2 linked regions of the Rhinolophus ferrumequinum genome follow. The protein of the gene in region 2 purifies or fractionates together with the protein of the main gene of each other region. This does not show direct contact. Links are inferred from orthologs where the notes say so. Each region holds a gene or a part of one and is shown on either strand. Other genes may lie near its edges.

Region 1 (9,604 bases), on a different chromosome or scaffold from region 2:
CACTCCACCAGCAGGCACCAGATGCCTCACCTTATTCTTTTTGACAGCCTACCACAGCCGCTGTGTGGATCCCTGGCTCACTCAGACCCGGAAGACCTGCCCTATCTGCAAGCAACCTGTCCATCGAGGTCCTGGGGATGAGGACCAGGAGGAAGAAGCTCAGGGGCAAGATGGTGATGAGGAAGGGCAAGCAAGGGACCATCCTGCTTCAGAGCGGACCCCACTTCTGGGGTCCAGCCCCACAATTCCCACCTCTTTTGGCTCCCTAGCCCCAGCCCCCCTTCTTTTTCCTGAGTCTTCAACAGATCCCCCACCCTCTCCTTCCTCCTCAGATGCCATCCTGGTCTAATACTCCTATCACCCCCCACCTCTGGTGACCTATTTTGCACAGCTCCTTTTTCTCCCTCTAGTCTTCTGTGTTGAGGGATAGGGGGCATTCTCACCCTGGGATTCTCCCTTACCCAACCCCATCCTTTTGAAGGGGTTGGTGCAAAGGGACTGGGTCTTCACTTACCGGGTTAATAAAATTTTTTGTGGACTAAGGAAGGTAGAGCTCATTCTCTCATAGGTGATGATGATCTTAATTATTTGGGGAATTGTCCCCGTTTTGCCATAAAGGGGCAGGGGAGTGCTGGAGACTAACCTATAGTCTTGGGGACAGCCCTAGCAGGCATTAGTTGTGACTCCACCCACAGGATGACTCAACTGGCCCTACCTTGCCCAGAGGCCTGGACCCAGTCTGGTCTGGATGGCTCTATTCCATTATCCACCAATTCACATAACACACTGAGGACCTAGGGCTGGAAATGCCACTGAGGAAGGCTGGGCAACTGGGCCACATAGGCCTGAAGCAGGTACTTAGTCCTAGACATGGAGGCAAGCTCAAATCCCTAGGCTTGGTAGCACTTCAACCCCTGCCGTTCCTAAACCCAAGCCAGGATAAAGGAGCCAAGTCCCAGTGACTCCTCCACCCTTACACCCAGGCTAAAACCACACAGCACCTTGTTAGTAGAATCTTTTTTATTCAGAAAAAAACAAAACAAAACCAAAAAAAAAAAAAAGTTTTCCAACCACACACAGGAGGGGTATGGGTAGGGGGAGGTGTTTATCCATCCAGCCCTGGCCCCCAGCCCATGTGGTTTTGGCAGCAATAAGGGGTGTGGGGTAATGGCCCAAAAAAATAAAAATGGTGTATGTGTGTGTATGGGAAGGAGAAGGGTGCAAAAGCAGTGGGGAGTGGGGTGGGGAAGGAAAGATGAGGTCAGTACTGGGAACGCCGCAGGTGGGAGGCAATTTCATAACATTTCTTGTTGACTGTACCACCGTGGACACCTTCTTTGCCCATCAGCAGGACTAGCGCTGGAGGAAAAGAGAAAGGAGGCTAGGACCCAGGTGTCACAATTTCACCCCCTGCCAGCTGTTCAGCAGCTGTCCAGCCCCAGGGGCTGTAACCCAACCTCACTGGCTCCCAACCCCCACACACAGGCAGGCTGTCAGTCACCCTGAAACAATAGGGCTTTTCAAAAGGGGAAAATCAAAGCTAAAGGCAAGTGAAGCGAACACACTAAAATTTAGGGGTCAAAGGCTCAGACGGTTGACTCATATTCAGGCTAGAATGGTTAGGAATGAGACTGCCACCTCCAAGTATTAATGGCTATGGATGAGATGGCCAGCTCCACGTTTTAACAAGGACTCCAAAGATGAAAGGTAAGTGCTGACAACCAACAATCGACAAAAGTTTCTCATCTGAAAAGTGTCAAGGCACAAAGGAACTTAAAAGGTAATACAGTTTATATTACAAGATAAGGAACTGAGAACTAACTGGAGGGACTATCCAGAATCCCAGCATCCAGCAGGCTGGGAGTAGAAAGCTGGTATGATCCCTTCGTACTGGGGAACCAGAGAAAAAACCCAAAAGTCTTACAGATGGAGGTACAGTAGGGATTTTGGAGCTAGAGGAAGGGAAAGACACACAAACTCACTCTTGGCAGTCATGGTGACAGTGACGTTGAAGGTGGGGGATCCGCCGGTGCTCTTGGTACGAAGATCCATGGTAAATTCCCCATCTTGCAGCAGCGAGTCCCGGATCACAGAACATTTCTGGCCCCCAAGTGTCAGCCCATTCACGAAAAAGCTTGCCCGGTCTTTGCCAACCAGGACACCAACCTCAGCTGGCTGGAAGGGGAACCAAGCACTCATCAAGTTAGTCAGTACACCAAGGTTCCCACCTTCTCCAAGGACCCACCTGCATTCCACTTCTCAGGGGAGCTAGAACCGCCCTGAAGAGGAAAAATGTGTATGTTACGTGCTTTGTACACATCCATGAAATATGAGCTCTTCTTAGGACTGTTGGAAGTTAGTGCAGAAAAGATCACGATCCTCAAACCTACAGAATGGCTCTGGAAACTTAGATCTCGTTTGAGAGGGAAAGCAAAGCCAGGAAATAAAGGGGGTCAAAAGTTAGTGAAGAGAGTGGAGTGGAATGGAGTGGGGAGCCTTTGGATGCTCAAAAGTCTCCTTCAGGAAAAGCAGAAGCGAAGAGGGGAAGGGAGGGGGCGGGCAAAGCAGGAGAAGCAACTTTGCCCTTATTTGGTCAAAGGTTCTGAAGTTGTTGTTAGGGGCCCGGACGCCTGGGTCTCCAAGTAACTCAGAGTTAGGTCTAGGTATCTATGTTCCAAGAAGAGGAAGCAGATCCCTGGGGGCTTTCTGGTCAAGTTGAAAAACTTTTGAAGGGGGCCTGGAGCTAGACCCCGCAAGCCAACTCTCGGGTCTAGATACCCCAGGGAAGCTTTCTCCTCCTCCCCCGTACACCCCAAATCCCCACATCCGGTCCCCTCCCGCCCGGAAATCCCCTTCCCCCCCTTTCAAACTTCCGTTCCCCCTCCCCACTTCCGGGCAGTGCGGACAGGGGTGGTGGTGATGGGGACAGCAGCAGTCATTCCTTATTCCTGCACTTACACTGTCCTATAACTTCTTACAAAGTTCCCTTGCTCCAGGCCCCGCAGGATGGCGGGAAGGGAGGGCGAGGGCACTTCCGGGATTGGTCTCACAGGAATGTTGAGTCTACGGTGCCGACTTGGGGGGGGCGTGAGGCGGCCTCTCCCTCTCTAACGGAGTTGGGAGGGGCAGGGAGGCCACAGAGGACCGGCATGGGACCCAGGCCACGCGACTGGGACTCCCTCACATATAAGGGGGAACAATGGTGAAGGGGGCACGAACTGCCGGCAGTAAGTGGAGCTGGGGGTCCAGGGGTCCCCAACTCCCTTCTCAATCACAAACCCTGATTGAAATTGCAGCGCGTGTCCGCCCCGCCCTGGACAAGGCGGAAGTGGGCCGCCGCACCGGGCGGCGCGCCCCTCCCCACCCTGTGCCCCGGATGTAACGCCCCGTCGTGGAAAGCGGGGCAGCGGGCGGGATGGGAGCCGCCGCCTGGGGCATAGAACTTAGGGGCAACCGAGGAGCCTGCTCACGTGCAGCCGCCATTCGCGCCGCTTCCAGGGCAAGAAGGGGTCAAGCACGGCCTTTCGCTGCACGCCCCAAACCGCGCCCGCCCCCACCCAAGTCCCTCCCTCAGGGTCCAAACCCAGCCAGTTCCCCGGACCGCGCAGGCCTCGCAGTACCGTGATGTTGCCTAAGGTTTTCCCGGGGACGGCGGCCCAGACGGAGGGCGAGTCCTTATAGCCCACGATGGCCGCGTCCTGACAGGTCCCGTCCGCCATGAGGCTGTCGATGTAGGCGGTCCACCCGGCGGCCATGGCGCTGCTACTGGGGCTGCTCTTAAGCGCTGGTGCTGGGGCCGCGGGCTGGGCTCGGGCTGCCTCGGGCTGGCGGACGGGGGGAGGCGGAGAGCTTGGGGCACGCGCTGCCGTCCGGACCGTGGCTCTGCTAGCTGTGCAGCAGTCCTCGCACCGCCACTTCCTGCTCCTCCCCCCCTTCTAGATTTTTATGCAAAGAGCGGTAGGGGCGGGGCCTGCTCCCCATTCCCTCCCTATCCCCCCTCCAGCCCAGATACCTAACTTTGCAAATACAATTTTAAAAATCCCTCCCCCTGTTGCAAAATTTGCAGAGTTCAATGGAAAGCAATGTAAAAGAATGAAGGGGGGTCAGGGAGAGAGGTTAGGGTTAGGGTTTGCTCCACTTCGCACGGAATATAAACCACATTTTGGTATAGGGGAAGGGAGTAAGATGGAGGGAAAAAAGAAAGTGGAACGAGGAAGAATTAGCAAGCTGCAAATTTAGCAAATTAAAGAGGGTTTGGGGAACTCGGGGTTAAACAGAATGACTCCCCCTTCCCCCACCTCCGCCGGAGGGAAGGAACGGCGGGCGGCGGCGCGTGCGCCCGCGCCTGCGCCGGGGCCCGGAGGGAAAGCGCGTGGGGCGGTTGGGGCCGGCGGCCGGCTTCGCGGGCGCGCGCCGGGGCGCGCCTGGCTGGACCCATTTGGAACCCCTGGGAAGGAAGGCGGCCGGGGACGTGTCTCGCGCCGGGCGGAAGAGGCGGGGGCGAGAGCGAGGCGTGCGCGTTGCGGCTTCTCCACTCTTGATTTTATTTAGTCAAGGGAGCAAAGGGGAATTTGACAAAATATCCCGACCGGTTTCAGAATTGAAGGCATCCACTGGGGACACTTCTGTCCCCAGCATCTGCCTGGTGGCACAAATTGGACTCAGTGGAGTCCACCCCCACTCGAGGGGGTTATCCTAGCTGGATCAGCTCCAGCCCCAGGCCTCGCCCCTAGGTCCAAGACCCGCCTGTTCCCGGGCTAGTAGTTTGGGTCACCGGTCGTGCCCTTTGGCGCCTCTCTGCAGAGGCGGGCACCCGCGGGGCTAGACGGGCGGGCCTATTTTTCCCGGCGGAAGAATACTAAGAAGTTTAAAGATTTGCAACTTTTTCAAGAAGGGGAAAGTCCTTTCCACTTTGGGCCCGTTGGATTTTTTTTCTTTTTCATTAAAACTTAACGCCAAGAACTTGAGTGCGATTAGGTCTCCCACCAACTGGGAGGGGAGGTGGGGCAAGACCTGGCGACGGCTTAGGTGAACTGGCCGCGCTCAGACTGCCTGGGCCACCTAGGGGCTGGGCCGCTTCCGGTCCCTCCCGGGAGGGTCGCCTCCCGGGTGGGAAGGGGCTTCTATCTCTCTCATCCTCCCGAGCGGGACGCGGTTCCCTCGCGGATACTCCGCACCCCAGGGACACCCGACGCCCCCCAAACCCTTGTTCCTCGACAGCCGCCGGGGCTGAGTCACTGGTCCGCTCGGGCGGGGCCTCATACGGGCACGTGGCGGCGCCCCGCCCGCCCTCCTGACCTCTGGCCTGCCGCACCCCCTACCCCCGGGTGGAAAAATCCCTGGAGGGAGCGGCCCGAGATAAGGGGGTAGGGGCGACATAGGGGGAGGGATTCTGGGCTGGGGGCAGTAAGGCAGTATAGGCGGGGCGGAGAAGGGAGCTGGGTTGAGGTCCGTGGGGGTGAGTCACCCGGCGCAGGCTGCTCTGGCGCCGGCGGGAGGAGCCTCCGAGTCGGGGGCGAGGAGCCGAGGCGCCCCCGGAACCTTGCCTGCCCGCCCAACGGTCCGAGCCTTGGCGTGCCTCCCTTTTCTGGCCGGGCTGCAGCCAGAACTCAGGACAGACCCCACACTCCCCTCAGACCTGCCAACACGGAGAGAGTTACTGAATTCAGAGACCCACTTCCCTGCAATGCTACTAGCGGACTGCCGGGCTAGCTCCGGGCGTTCAGATACTCAAGGCCACCCCCTCCTCTCGTCCATTCATTTTGTTCGCTGCTGATTCAACGTCATTCGGTGGTGATCTGGGACCGCGCCCTGAAGCACCGGCAGTCAGTGGGGATAGGGGCTCCTGACTGGCAGTCTACACGCTGAGCGATAAGTGCTGTCCCAGCGCTATCTGTAGGGAGCCGCGCCAGTCTAAATTCGTCTCCCTGCCCCCTCCTCCACCCCTTTGCTGGCCCAGATTGGGTAGGATGGGATGGAGCAGGGAGAGGCCGCTATGAGGACCCTGAGAGGTGAGACCCTCTCACCTTTTTAATGGGGGGTTCAATTTTAGACTTCAGAGCTTGCCCATAAACCCCGGCTCCTTCCCCCACTGAAGGCAGAGGCAGCCCCTGCCCGCCAAGTGAGCTGAGCATGTGTGGATGTCAATCCTGCAGCCCCTCTTCCAGGCCCCCTCCCCAGCCCTGCAGGGCTCAGGTTACCCCTGGCCTTTCCTAAATGGCACTAGTTCCTCTTTAACCTTTACAAAAGGGGAATATAATCTTGGGGAGGGGAGAGACCCCTCCTTTTGAAGCCCCTCCCCTGCTCCTTCCCAGGGGTGGAATTAAAAGTAGGGACTTTTATTGGGAACAGAGAGAAAGGACGGGTAGTCGTTAACCTTCGGGAAGGGGGCTTTAGGCTGTAGTGGGCACTTGGCTACCAGCCGCTTGTCGAGGGGGAGGATGGAGAGGGAGAGAGGCGGGGCTGGCTGGGGGACAGCGTGGCTGGGGATAAATGCCCAACCTGAGAGGGGGTGAGGTGACACTGTCCCAGCTGCCACCTAGACTCGGAGCTCACCTCAAGCCCCCAGCGAAAACATCCCAGGTCTGGTGAATCTTCCAGCCCCAGGGCATGGGAGTGAGGGTGGTGCTGGCTTGGAGAAGACGGGGAAATGTCGGCTTTTTTTCCCCTCCTGGGATTGGGGGTGCTTAAGAAAGACGCTGATTTGGAGCAAACAGGATGGGGGTGTCCAAGGATAGGGAAATGAGGATGCGAAGAAAGGCAGGCAGAGATGGATTGAGATGGTAGCTAGAGCTGGGGCCAGTTGGAGAATTTGCACACCCCCCCTGCCCCAGTATCTGAAGAAGACTGAGGAGCAGGAAAATGAGAAACAGAATAACGAGAGAGGATTTTAGAGCTAGAAAGCCACGGAGAACAGAATGCTTGATTAGAAGGGTGGAGGGAGAAGGCATAAATGCAACTTTGCAGGAGATGGGGTTCAGGAGGTGGTGGAATTCCAGGAGTTATAAAGGAGAGACTCCTGGATTCTTAGGATGGGGGTAGGGGGTGGAATAAGAGCTTTCTGAGTGGAGGAGGGGCTGCGCCAGCCTCTATGATCTGTGACCTTTTTGTGGGTATTTTTAGCTCCAGCACCTGCCTTCTTGGGGTGGGGAAGGCTCTTAAAGGGCAAGGGATTTCGGGTTCCTTAAGGGATCAACGGTCCACACTCACTCAAGCCTCTTGTCCTGCAGCCATGGCCATGCAGAAAATCTTTGCCCGGGAAATCCTGGACTCCAGGGGCAACCCCACCGTGGAGGTGGACTTGTACACAGCAAAGGGTAACACAGGCCCATTAAATTGGTTTGCCTTGGAAGACCCCAACACCATCTGGCCTTTGCCCTCCAGCTGTTCCATATCCTCACCTTCCTCTGAGATTCCCTTCCCCAGAGTTCTTCCCAGGCCTTCCTCTTCCAACCTGGTTCTCCTGCGGGGAGAAGTAGGAGTCTATCTGCCCTGCCTTTTGCCCCTGGTCTCAGAGAGGACACCTTGGCCCTTTGGGGGTGGATGGGACTTTCTGTGATCTTCCAATTGATCCTTCCCCAGGCCGATTCCGAGCAGCTGTGCCCAGCGGAGCTTCCACAGGTATCTATGAAGCTCTGGAACTAAGAGATGGAGACAAATCTCGCTACCTGGGCAAAGGTGAGGAAAGATCAATACTGGAGGAGCCTTGTGGAAGTGGTTTCAGGACATGGGCACACAACATCTGTGTGGAGTAGAGGACTAGAACCCAAAGCTGTTTTGAGGAGCTGGGATCTGCAGGAAGAGACCTGATTGAATAGGAGATCTGAACCTCCTCCCATCTCTCTAGGGGTCCTGAAGGCTGTGGAACACATCAATAAGACTCTAGGCCCTGCTCTGCTGGAAAAGGCAAGTGGGAGGAGCCTGCTCCCCTTAATCCCCTCCTCAGACCCCTGTCGCCTCACCCCATATGGCAACTGTCATTCTCCCCAAAATACCTGTACTTCTTTCTCCTGTACATGCCCTGACTCTTGACAAATCTGACCTTTGCTCTCCCTCCTCAAACCTGCCCTTCCAGAAATTAAGCGTTGTGGATCAAGAAAAAGTTGACAAATTTATGATTGAGCTGGATGGGACCGAGAATAAATGTGAGTGAAGGGCTAGAGGTAGGGGAAGAGATGGGATGTGGAAGGATTGGGGGAGCGACCACGAGGCTGAGATCTGGTTAGAATTATTTCTGTGTTCCACAGTTTGGGGCACACAATAGCGAGATGGACTTTTATTCATTCCACAGGCATTTCCTGATGCCTGCCCTCTGCCAGGCTTGGGCCAGGCTGTGGACACACATATGAAGCTGACACATTCCCCTGGGGTGGAGGCACCTCAGGCTGCCGGGGAGAGAGCTGTTAAACTTTAATGACCAGTGGTTTGGAGTTCTGGATTCTTCTTGGGGTGACCAGAGGGGATGTTCTAGAAGATGACCCCAAACCCTGGGGGAGAAGCTCTCACCCTTTCTTGTGCTTGCCTCCTTCAGCCAAGTTTGGGGCCAATGCCATCCTGGGCGTTTCCCTGGCTGTGTGCAAGGCTGGAGCAGCAGAGAAGGGGGTCCCGCTCTACCGACACATTGCAGATCTTGCTGGGAACCCGGACCTGGTCCTCCCAGTCCCTGTGAGTGCAAGTGCCCTGCCAGATCCCACAGTGACAGAATTACCCCTGCCATCAAGAAGTACCTTCCAGAGCCAGCTCCAAAGGAACGGTTTTCTGAAATGGAACCTCTCCTGCTGCGGTTCCGCCCCTCCCTCTTTCCCACAATCCAAACCTTTCCTTAAGCCTCTCTGCTTCTTTCCCTTGACATAACCCGGTTCCTTCACATTCCAACCCTAGGCTCAATAACTCTAGCTTCTCATTCTGCCCTTTAGCCCAACCTCCAAATCAGATCGAGTTTCTTCATGGCAAGGATTTTGGCATTTCTTCTTATCTAATCCTTATTAAACCACATTCCCTCTTTATGGAAACCGTTTGAATTTAATCTCAATAATAATGTTACCATTTATTGTTACTTACAAGGCAGATTGTGTAAGAGCCTGAGCTCTGGAGACTATCTGCTGGGTTTGGATCCTGGTTTTTCCCATTTGCTAGCTGTGTGATCTTTGGCAAGTTATTTAACCTCTCCATTCCTCAGGTTCCTCATCTGTAGAGTGGAAGATAATAGTACTTAGTTTATAAGGTTGTTTTGAGAATGAAATGAGCTAATAGATGTAAAACACTTAGAATAGTGCCTGGCCTGTAGTGCCATATCAGTGTTAGCTATTTTTCACCAGGCACATGCTAAGAACTTTACATTCAATTTCTCTAATATTCGGCAAAAGATCCTGCAGGGGAAGCAGGTGGTATCCCCATTATGGAAATGAGGAAAGAGCCTCTGAGGAGTAAAATTACTGATCCTAGATCAGTCAGCTAGTAAGTAGGGACGCCAGGATTCCACCTGGACCCCTGGACCCCGTCCCAGGTGTGAACACCCTTTCCGCCTCTCAGGCCTTCAATGTGATCAATGGGGGCTCCCACGCTGGAAACAAGCTGGCCATGCAGGAGTTCATGATTCTGCCCG
Region 2 (10,549 bases):
ATTGTTCACTGCTGTTTCCTCAGAACCCAGAATTCTACCCAGCCCACAGCAGGTATTCAACAGTTGTTAAATCAGCCATGTTTAAAAAAAAGGAAAACTCAGCTGATAGTAACGGATTGGTGTGCATCCCAGACACTGTTCTAGGTACTCAGCTCCCGTTTCCACAGAGAACCTTGCAATGATGTCAAGAGAGATGAAGACACTTGTCCCAGGTCACACAGCAAGTAAGCAGAGGGGCTCCCATTTGAACCCAAGTCCGCCCAAGTTCTTAACCTCATTTAAAGATGAGGGAACAGCTAAGCTGAAATTTGAAAAGCCAAGGCCTAAAATGGTATCAGAGGTTTTAAAAAAAAGGTGGGGAGGATATAACTACATCCGCACGGCAGTGGTGATATATGCAGAGGCTGCTTCTCAGAAGACTAACCGTGGCTGGTGAGGGGGTACTGGGGACCCGAGGAAGGAGGAAATGGACACATCTCACGGTTTACTCTTTAGAACTGCTTGATTCTTTCTTTTTTTTTCAGCATGGGCTGGTATTACCTATAAAAAACTCATTCATCACTTAAGTTCAAAAAACAAAACTATAAACCAGGCAAAAGCTGCAACGGAAAATCCCACAGCCAGGAACCTGGGGACTAAGGTTCAAACAGGGTCTGCTTGATTCCAGGGGTGTCCTGGGGTCTCACACACTTGATTTGACATGAGAGAACCTTAATCCCCAGCCAGCCTAGCACCCATCCCTCCCCACAAGTCCCCATATTCTGGAAAACTCTACCATGAGGTGGATGAGAGAGCATTCAAGTCACTCCCTTGCTGTGTGGCTTTACCTCTATGGTTTCCAGCCCTGGAAACCATAACTCACTGGGTTTGTTGTAAGGATTCAAAGAGATAAGAAAAGCCCTAAAGCTCAGGACTTGGAATTTAGCACAGGGTCCATACAAGGAAGCTGTGAGTCAAAACAGGAGGGAGAAAGCTTTCCATCACTGGAGGCAATCAAGCATAGTCACTCCGGTTCAAACCTTTCAGATTAGAGGCTTGCCCTTCCCTTCACCCCTCACTCCTACCCCAAGACTTAACCTAGAGCTTCCTTAAATCATAAAACTTGTGACCCACACTCACCCCCACGCAACGTTTCCAAACTATAAATCTTTGCAACAACCCTGCATAGGAAACCAGATCTAGGGTCTGTGGGGCTTGTTTGGCTCACTCTAGTCCCTCCTCCCTGACCAAACTCAGTTTCCCAAAAGTAAACAGGAAGGTAAAGGTTTCCACCTGGGTTTTTGTGTATCTCCATTATCTTAACTATTCGTACAATGAAAGCATGTATTTTACTTGTAAAGCTCATTAAAGGTTTTATTTTTATTTTTCTTTAACAGCATAATAGTCTGGAGACAGTCCTAGATTCGAATTCAGCCTTGCCCACTTCCAAACTCTTTCGGCTTTAATAGGCAATTTGCTTAATTTGTCTGTGCCTTGGTTTTTCCATCTGTAAACTGGCAGGCGGTGGGGCGCCATCATAATAGTCAATCTCTTAGAACTGCTGAATTGCTGTGAGGATTAAACTGAATCAGGCACCTACTACAACGCCTGGCACAAAGTAGATGCCTGATTAAATTGTCTCTTATTATTTTTAAAGTAAAAATAATAATTACTATTACTGGAAGAAGAAAGAAACGGACCCAAATTCTTCAGAATCCCTTCTGCCCTGAGATTCTCAGACCTCTGCCCAGCTTCCCGGCCTTCCCAGAATCCCAGCTCAGAGTCCCGGACACAGCAGACACTCAACAAATATTTGTCAAACTAGGAGAAAAAGAACTATTATCTTGTAATTTTCCATCTTAACGTGTTCTCTTCCAACTGCCCCCAAGGCTGTCCTCAGCTAAACCAGCCAGAAATCAGAGAATCCCAGTCCCCTCCCCTCCCTCAATATTGCCTAGGAATTTCTGAGGGATCTTGTGCCAATTCTTTCTCTTTGAGCCTCAGTTTCCCTAGCTGCATACAGGGGCTTGCGTCAATTTGAATCCTAGCTGTCTTTGGAGAAGGGGCACAAGCCCAGGAAGTCGGCTGTGACCACTGGCAGGGAAGACCCCTCAGAAGGTGGGAGTAACCCTCTTGTGGGACAGGGAACAGTGCAACTTCTGCCCACCCCCCAGGAAGTGGGAGGTTTGGCCACGGCCTTTAGTAGGGGGCCTGTGGGAGGGCCGGGGCCTCCGGGACTGGGCTAAGGGGGGGGCGGGAGGCCGGCCCAGACACTGCTCCTGCCCTTTTACGGTCTCAGTGAGTGAGGCAGCACTAACTCGGACATCCGCCATCCGCCTTCCACCGTCCCTGGGACCGGAAACGCGGGGGGGTGGGGGCGAGGGGCGAGGCTGGGGGCTGTGGGTTGTGGGAGAAGAGAGTCCCCCCCCACCTCCGGGAAGAGGGTGAAGAGAGCCTGGCTCCTGAAAACTGCCCCCTGTCCAGACAGACCTTGAAGGGAATGTTGCTATAATGGGAGAAAGGGTAGGCAGGAAGTCTTGAGGGTGTCTCTAGGTGCCCCCTTGCTCTAAATTTTCCAACCATTCCTTCGCATCAGAAGAAACAAATACGGGAGGGGGATTCTCTAATGGTCATAAAAAGGAATGCCACCCTGATGTCAGAGGGCAGAGGTATGGGGAACGTGGGGGAAGTGGGAGGATGTAGGCACCAGGGGGTTAATCCCCAGCCGTCCCCAGAGGCCGCCTCCACAAGCTGGGGGCTTTGGGGCAGGAAGTCCCTGAGAGAGTAAAGGAAGGGAGATAGTATTGTCAGGCTCTGGCCCCAAGGGAGAGATTATGGGGGGTCAAGGGGAGGAGAGAATGGGGGGATCCAGTCGAGTTTCCCAGCCCGCACTGGCCCCGCCCTCAGGTGCGCCCAGGAGTTTTGAGGCAGGCCTGGGTAAGACAAAATCCTTAGGTACCTTGGGTCCCCCCCCCGCCAGGATTAAATTCCTGGGAAGATAGCTGAAACTATCTGGGAAGCCTGGGTCCTGGGAAGAGAGGACTATGACCTTGAAGCTTTCCAGCGCCCCCTCCTCCAACCCCAGAGCTCCGATGGCTGGAGAGTTGGGGTAGCGAGAAGGGAGAGGCGCCGTGGTGGGGAAAGCAGCCAGCCCACAGCGCTCCTGGCCCGCCCCCCACACACCAGCTGTCTCGACAGGTGAGTCAGTAAGACAAAGGCCCCCCTTTCCACAGCTGCCGCACCCCCTCCCTCCCAGGGCCGCGCAGGTGGGGTAGAGGGGCCGCCCTTCTCTGGCCCAGAGCCGGGGAGCCGCCCTCCGCATAGAGCACTCCCTCGGTCCTAGGCACGGCCTGTTTTAAACAGATTGGGAGTGCGGAGCGGCGGGGGAGGGGTGTCCCAACCAGACCCTGTAGGCTACGTCTGTCTCCGTCCGCAACCACCTCTTCCATTGGATAAGAGCCCCTCCAAATTTAGGGGGTTAAGTACCCTCGAAGTTAAGGAGCGAGGTCCCACATGGTACGACTTTCCAGCGTCACGTAAAGAGGAACCCTGCAAACCAATGTCTACGTCTCAATCTCTCAGGTGCCAGGGACCCTCTGACTGGCCCCCCACAATCCCTCTCTGAGTCCGAGTTTAGATTTGGGGGGAGTCTGAGCCCTGACTAAATCCTGACCTCCTTACAGGGAGTATCTGCCAACTTGGAGGTCTTTTGAAGAAGTCTTTTAAGAAATTTGGGAGTCCTCCGAGCGCCCCAAATCTGAGGGCTCCCTGGAGAGCTTCACCGGTACCACCTCGAGCCTTGGGAGTCATGGGAAAATGGTCAATATTTGGAGCTCATCCAAGCAGGTTCGGCCTCAAAGCCGAGGCTCCGAGTGGCCGGTCCCCAAATTTCAGCCAGGAGCGAGCTGGGGGGAGGGGGGACAAAGGCGGGGCGGGGAGCCCGCCCCGGGTGGAGAAGGGTCTGTAGGAAGTTGGGGGCTCACCTCATGGCTGCTCGGCAGGCAGGCAGCGCACCCACAGGGTGGGTGCTGCCGGGGAGCCCCTGGCTCGAGGTTCAGAGGTCCGGGGTTGGATCCAGGTTCTGCTCAGTCTCCCCCAGGGTCCCGCCCCATAGAGTCCGGCTTCCTGAGGGGAACGTGGACGCGGCCCGGGCGGGTCTTCGGGCGCCTCCTCCCTGTGGGGGTTTGATCGGGGGTCCCTGCGGCGGAAAGGGCGTGCGGCGTCCCCTCCCCGGCGCGCCCCCTCGGCCAGCGGCAGCTACAATGTTACTCTTACTACTGTACTTCTCTTCGCTACATTTCGTTCCAAAATTCCACTCCCCACACCCACAATGCCCTGCGCCTTAAAGGGGCCGCGTACAACTCAAGGTGGAAAGGAGGGGTGGAGGGCGCTTAAAAGGGCAACGCGGAACCCTAGACCCGCTATTTCCCTCTCCCTCATCGTTATTGCAGGGATGCAAGCTGGGGTCACCCCCAAATTAGGGAGCAAGCTTGGTGGACGGGAAGGGATCCTTCCTTGATCCCTAGTTCTCTCCCACGATGGGAGTTCTCAGGGGGATCTCAATGGGGGCAGTTTCTTTTCACCTTCCCTATCGACCTCTCCATTTCTTTACATTCTGCTCAATTAGGGGGTTGGGGGGCGAGGAGGACCCTCTGGTTTAGCATAGGTTCTTTCAAATTTCCTCCCTTATATCCTCTCTTCGGACTCCCCCAATGTCTCTCTTGGCCAATTTATAAAAGGTTACTAAGAGTGAACCGTCTCCCCCTCCACGGGAGGGGGATGGGTGGTGAGGGCCCCACCCCCTTCACTGCCCCCCGCCCAGCCGGGGAAGGTGAGGAGGAAGTGGGCCGAGGGGGCGCGGCCGGCCGCTGACTCAGAGCCGCAGGGGGGTGGGGGTTGGACTCCGGGATAAAACCCTTGGCCCCTTCCCCACGCACGCCCCGCTGTGACTCAGTTTCGCCCGCGGAGGATGGCGGGATCATCCCACAACTGGAGGGCACCGAAGCAGGGAGATCCTCCCTAGTGGTGGCTCCCGCGAGCCCCTTCCCCCACAGGCCAGCTTCAAGCTGAGACCGCACACCCTCCAAGGCTTCCGCAGTGGTTACCGCAGGCTCCGCCCCACGTGACGTCACTTCTGTGATTCCCGCCTCTCCCCTCTCCCATAGAGCGCCACCTGTCCTAGGTAAGGTGCCCCCTAGCCAGGGGCCGGAGCCTGGGAAATCATGTTTGACGTTTCCAAATGTGTAAACTGAGGCCTGGAGACAGGGACTATATCTCGGCTATAAGCCCTCTTGCCTGAACCCCAGAACTCCAGTGGTACTTGGGTGCAAGGTATGAGGGTAAAACCAACAATTCTTAAGGCCCAGTTGACTAGGTGAGGGAGTCAACCTTCCCAGCCTTTGTCCAAGAAGAATCCTCTGCCTGGATGCTGTCCTGACCTCATCTCATACTTCTAGGACATGTTCTAACATTAATTCTTCTCTGCAGAATTGAGTAATCCTTTCCCCTACTCTACCCCACCCTGGGTGACCTTGAACCCTGATCCACCTGGGTTATAATTGTTTCTCTGTGTGTCTTCTCAGGCTGTGAGTTCTTTGGGGGCACAGGTAGACTTCATCGATTTCTGTGTTTCACTAAGCCAGCCAGGCCCAGAACAACAGTGCAATACACATTTATGCAACTGAATGAGAACCCCAGTTTCTGTGTGACCTTGGGCAAATCCTTTCTTCTCTCTGGGTCTCAGCTTTCCCATCTGGGAAATGGGAGATGTGGTGTCTCTGTGTGCCACCTGCACTGCAGTCAGCAAACTTTTTCTACAAAGGTCCAAATAGGAAATATCTTAGGCATATTAGGTATAGGGTCTCTTTTACACATTCTTTTTTTTACAACTCCTACAAAATGTAAAAACCATTCTTAGCTCAAGTGCTATGCAGAACAGCAAGATCCCTGCATTAGAGAAACCCTTGCATATATACACAAGGAGCCTGTCCGAGGATCTCTATGTCAGCAATTATGTGAGGGCAAGAAACTGAAAATAGCCTGTCCATCAAGAAGAGGATGGATAGCAAAACCATTGCACATCTTCTTGTCTGAAGCACGGGGCAGCAGCTAAAAAGAATGAGGTGTGTAAGTGGCATGAAAGAAGTCCCCAACATATTACTGAGTGAAAAAAATTGCCAAATGAGGGCGGCCGGTTAGCTCAGTTGGTTAGAGCGCGGTGCTTTTAACAAGGTTGCCGGTTGGATCCCCACATGGGCCACTGTGAGCTGTGCCCTCCACAACTAGATTGAAACAACTACTTGACTTGGAACTCGTGGGTCCTGGAAAAACGCACTTAAACAAACAAAAGTTTAAAAAAAATTTGCCAATGGCAGCCGGATGGCTCAGTTGGTTGGAGCGCGAGCTCTAAACAACAAGGTTGTTGGTTCAATTCCCCCATGGGATGCTGGGCTGCACCCCCTGCAACTAAAGATTGAAAACTGCGACTGGACTTGGAGCTGAGCTGCGCCCTCCACAACTAGATTGAAGGACAATGACTTGGAGCTGATGGGCCCTGGAGAAACACACTATTCTGCAATATTCCCCAATACATTTTTTTTTTTAAGAATTGCCAAATGATAGAGTATGAAAAAACAATCAAGGAAACAACTTGGGTGTACATGCAGAGTAAAAGTTCTGGAAAAATCCACTCCAAACTCATTGTAGTGGTTACCAATAGGATAGGGAATGGTATTGTGGGGAATTCGATGGTCATACAGCTCTTAAGCCTCATCTTGAAAATGCCAAGCTCAATTCTGCTTCTAGGCTATTGCACTGGCTGTTCCTTCTGTCTTGAGACACTCTTCTCAGGGCTATTTGCATGGCTGGCTGCTTCTCGGGGAAGCAATTGAGTCAGGTCCCCGCTCAATTGTCCCCTCCTCAGAGATCTTCCCTGATGCCCCTGTCTAAAGCATCCATCCCCCGGTGGAAAATTGAGTGGCTGAGGGACAGGGGATGGAGAAAGACCTCATTGTACACCATTTTGTACCCTTTGAATTTTGAACCAACTGAACTTATTACCACTCAAAAGATAAATGAATAACAATTTAAAAAACCAAAATAGATTTACTTATCGCATCCCATTTTATTCTCTTTGAGACACTTGTCAGTGTCTGAGATGACCTTATTCATCGGTTCTCTTGTTTGCTCTTTCCCCACACACATACTAGGTGGGCCCCTACAATAGGCACGAATCTCAGTGAGTCTCCCTGGTCGATGGCCACGAACAGTGCCCAATACATATTTGCAAATGACTGGGTAAATAATGTTTGCGGGGTTTTTTTCCTACAAGAAAAATGTATTTTGAGTCACGTAATTAACATTTAATAAAAATTCTCTCCTACCTCTCCCAAAACAGATGAAAAATGGAAAGAGAAGGTTATTGAATTGGTTGAACTCTCTTGGGTCCATGGTTTGGGGTTTCCTCCTCCTCTCCCCTCCCCCGGATGGTGGGAGGAACTTCTCCTCCTAAGACTTTCTGTGACAGGGAAGTAGGAGAAGGGGAAATAAGCATTCCGGGGTCCCTCCATCGGCTCATCTTCCTCTGGTCTATAGCTGGGGAAGGGGAGTTTTCTTAGTTCCGTTGGGGCCCCAGCTGGGCAAAGGGTCCCCAAAAGACAACAGCTGTCAGGCCTCCAAGTCCAAGGCAGAGCTTGAATGATGCCAGTGGCCTTCCCAGTCCCGTTCTGCCCCTTCTGTAACAGAAAATGTAAGAGACAGTGCATTTCTTTTCCTCTCAGTATCTACTCCCCTATATTCTGGAAGCATCACTCCTATTTTTCTTTGAGGGACCACGATTCCCCATCTCTAAAACCATCAAGTTTGGATGCAGTGAATCCCAACCATAAGCACTAAGAATGGACATATGACCCTAGCCTGGCCAATCAGAGACAACAGTGATTTGAGCAGACATGTGACCCAGTGCTACCAAGGAGAACCAGCTCTGAAACTACTGCTGCAACTACTGGGGAACTGGTACATTCTCTCCATTGAGGATGTTAGGCTTGGAGGATGTGAGGCTGGAGCTGCAACTCGCTGCTACCTCATGAAGAGACCCTGCCTGGGAACGAAGCCAACTCAGAGGAAATAAAACTACATCTGACAACTGGATGTAGTCATGCCTTAAGTCCCTGAACTCTTCAATTAACATGGCCCAGTAAATTGTTTTGTTTTTCTAGGTTGAACTGGGTTTCCTTCCCTCACAAATACCTCCTTCTGCTGCTGAGAACTATCAACAATAGCCCTCCTTCAAGTGCGAATAACCACTCTCTTCTCTGCTATGCAAAGGCCTTTGGGTTCTGGCCCCAGCTTTCTCCCTCCCATTTCCCCCGAGTCCCACCTTACACACCTTCCTTATACCTCACCCACCACATCTTTGGACATCTCCAAATGCCCCAAACTATCTGGGTCCAATTCACAATCTCTCTCCAAGATCCAGACCATCCTCAGAGATTACCTAGTGTCTGCAGTGTATCCAGGCCTGGGGACTGGTTAGCAACATTCCTTGAATTTTTCTGCCTTATTCCTGGATGGAGGGGGTGGTGCTTGGAATGATGGGGCTTTACAGAGCATTGCTGGGGGCACATTTCTTGAAGGGGAAGCACAGTCTGCTTCTCCTTCCCCACCAACAGTGCTTCAGGCCAGGAGTGAGAATTTATTTTAATATACTAGCCAAGTCCCTTGTTCCCTCTGGCCTTAATTTCCCCATCACTAAAGAAGGTAAGGTGTGCTGTATTACATGTTTCTAAGAGAAAATTCAAGAACACAGGGTCCTTACCTCCCAGTGCTCCCCTGAGGCCTGGCAGAGCTGAGAATAACCTTCAGCGATGACAGAGGCCCTGGAGAGCAGAGGAAGACCCTCAGGAGGGGACCCTCCTCCTGCCACCCCTCTCCCCATTCTACCCCATCCTACCCTGACTCACTTGCAGTACAGCCCTCCCCCAGAAGGTAAATCCGGGATGTCCTCTGAGGCCAGCCAGAGTCTCGAAAACCGGGTTCAATCTGGGAGGCTCCTAGGCAGAGGAACACAGTTCTGAGAAGGAGGCAAGAGTTACTCGGGTGCCCTGCTTGTCGACTACCCTTCCCGCTGAGCTCCTAAACCTTGCCCACCGGGCGACCCTGCAGCCCAGAGCTGCGTCCAGTGCTTGCTCCTTCCAGATTGTCTCCTCACAAGGCCTTGGGGCCCCCGGGAAGCAGACCAGGACGCAGGTCATGTTGTCCAGGCTGCCCTAGAGAAGGTGGAGAAAGGAGAGCCTGGTTGAATGCCCCAGCACAAGGCTCCATGCCCTTGGAAGCTGAGCTCCCCAACAATCCCGGTGTTCTTTTGCTCCCTTCCCTAATTGGGTTTTGTCCATTTCTCTCAAGTCCTGCCCATCTGCCAGTCTAAACCAATCCCTCTCACTAGGACCAATACCTTAGATGACGCCCCTTCACTGTTCTCACCCTGCTCTATCAGAGAATCACGCCCCTTCTCCAAAGCCCCTCCCACTCTGCTATTTAGCTGCTCCTGCTTCTGGTACTAATTATACCTCAGGACCCACTCCTGTGTCCCAGAGCCGACCCATGCCCTTTCTCTTAAATCCCTCCCACTTAACTAACACCTCACTTTGCCATCTTGCCCCAAGGCCTCCATCAGGCTCCACCCTCTCCATATTTTGTCCCCTCCCCATTTCATCAGGCCACGCCCTTTTCGTGGAGCCCCAACCTCTCCTTTATTTTTACTCTAGCCTTTCATTAAAATTCCTCTCTCCTAAATCCCTTAAGTTCGTCCCCTCAGTGGTCCCAAGCCCTGCCCCCAGGACCTTGCACAGAACGTGCCCAACAGCTGAGCGCAGAGAAGCTCTGGGGCAAGGCCCAAGCAGAGGCGTGATGCCACCAGTCCCACCAGGTCCACTCCAGACATCGCGTCCCACACGCCATCCTCGGCCCGCCGTTCCAGGACGGTCACCTCAGGCTCCGCGGAAACGAGCTGCAGCTCAGCGGGCCTTTCAGGAGCCTTTTTGTAGGCAGTCTCCCAGTGCTCTCAACACTGCCAGAGAGCACTCGAGGCGCCGGCGGCAGATGGTGCCACCCAAGTCATGGTTGCGCTCACGTTCCGGAGACCCGAGGGGCCTACGGTCCTCGGTGCTGAACGCCGCGGCGTCTGGTACAGAAAGCTCGGGAAGATGAGCAACGCTACCGCGGTGGAACCGCCCGGCTCGCGGTGGGGCCAGAGCGAGCGGAGGCGTGCGTCTGCACTCAGAAAGGCGAGGCGAAGCGAAGCGCCCGGCACACGCCCTGCGGCTCACCAGGAGCTGGGCCCAACGCCTCCAGCACGTGGCCCAGCAGGTGGCGCGCGCCAAAGAGGGAGGCTTGCGCCCCACCGTGGCCTTCGAGGACAGCGGAGAAAGCCAATCTCGGGGGGCAACCCAGGTAGCGTGAGCCAAGCGTAATGTGTGTGCGCCAGCCCTGCGTTGCACCGGGGGTGCGGCCTCTGGGCACCACGTGGTGCATCCAGGAGGAACCGAGGCCCTTAGGGAGCTCTGCGTCCCCC

The links. Proteins that work in one complex are often made in the same cells at the same time.
Region 1: the proteins of VASP (region 2) and PFN1 purify together in Homo sapiens (affinity purification with western blotting; 3 studies listed by BioGRID and IntAct, with this or other methods). This does not show direct contact. The link is inferred for Rhinolophus ferrumequinum from reciprocal best matches to the Homo sapiens genes VASP and PFN1.

What each region holds. Positions count from the first base shown.
Region 1 is NC_046304.1:12,645,865-12,655,468, forward strand, and holds PFN1 (profilin-1), read right to left. Parts: upstream 3,938-9,604; 5' UTR 3,756-3,937; coding exon 3,621-3,755; intron 2,753-3,620; exon of another isoform or gene 2,321-2,752; coding exon of another isoform or gene 2,246-2,320; intron 2,176-2,245; coding exon 1,983-2,175; intron 1,360-1,982; coding exon 1,262-1,359; 3' UTR 1,003-1,261; downstream 1-1,002. Other genes in the region: E3 ubiquitin-protein ligase RNF167, read left to right, coding at 48-349; ENO3 (beta-enolase), read left to right, coding at 5,975-6,011, 7,230-7,316, 7,582-7,677, 7,847-7,905, 8,075-8,144, 8,531-8,664, 9,532-9,604. UniProt on the Homo sapiens protein: Binds to actin and affects the structure of the cytoskeleton. At high concentrations, profilin prevents the polymerization of actin, whereas it enhances it at low concentrations. By binding to PIP2, it inhibits the formation of IP3 and DG.
Region 2 is NC_046298.1:41,838,039-41,848,587, reverse strand, and holds the start of VASP (vasodilator-stimulated phosphoprotein), read right to left. Parts: upstream 4,308-10,549; 5' UTR 3,968-4,307; coding exon 3,963-3,967; intron 1-3,962. UniProt on the Homo sapiens protein: Ena/VASP proteins are actin-associated proteins involved in a range of processes dependent on cytoskeleton remodeling and cell polarity such as axon guidance, lamellipodial and filopodial dynamics, platelet activation and cell migration.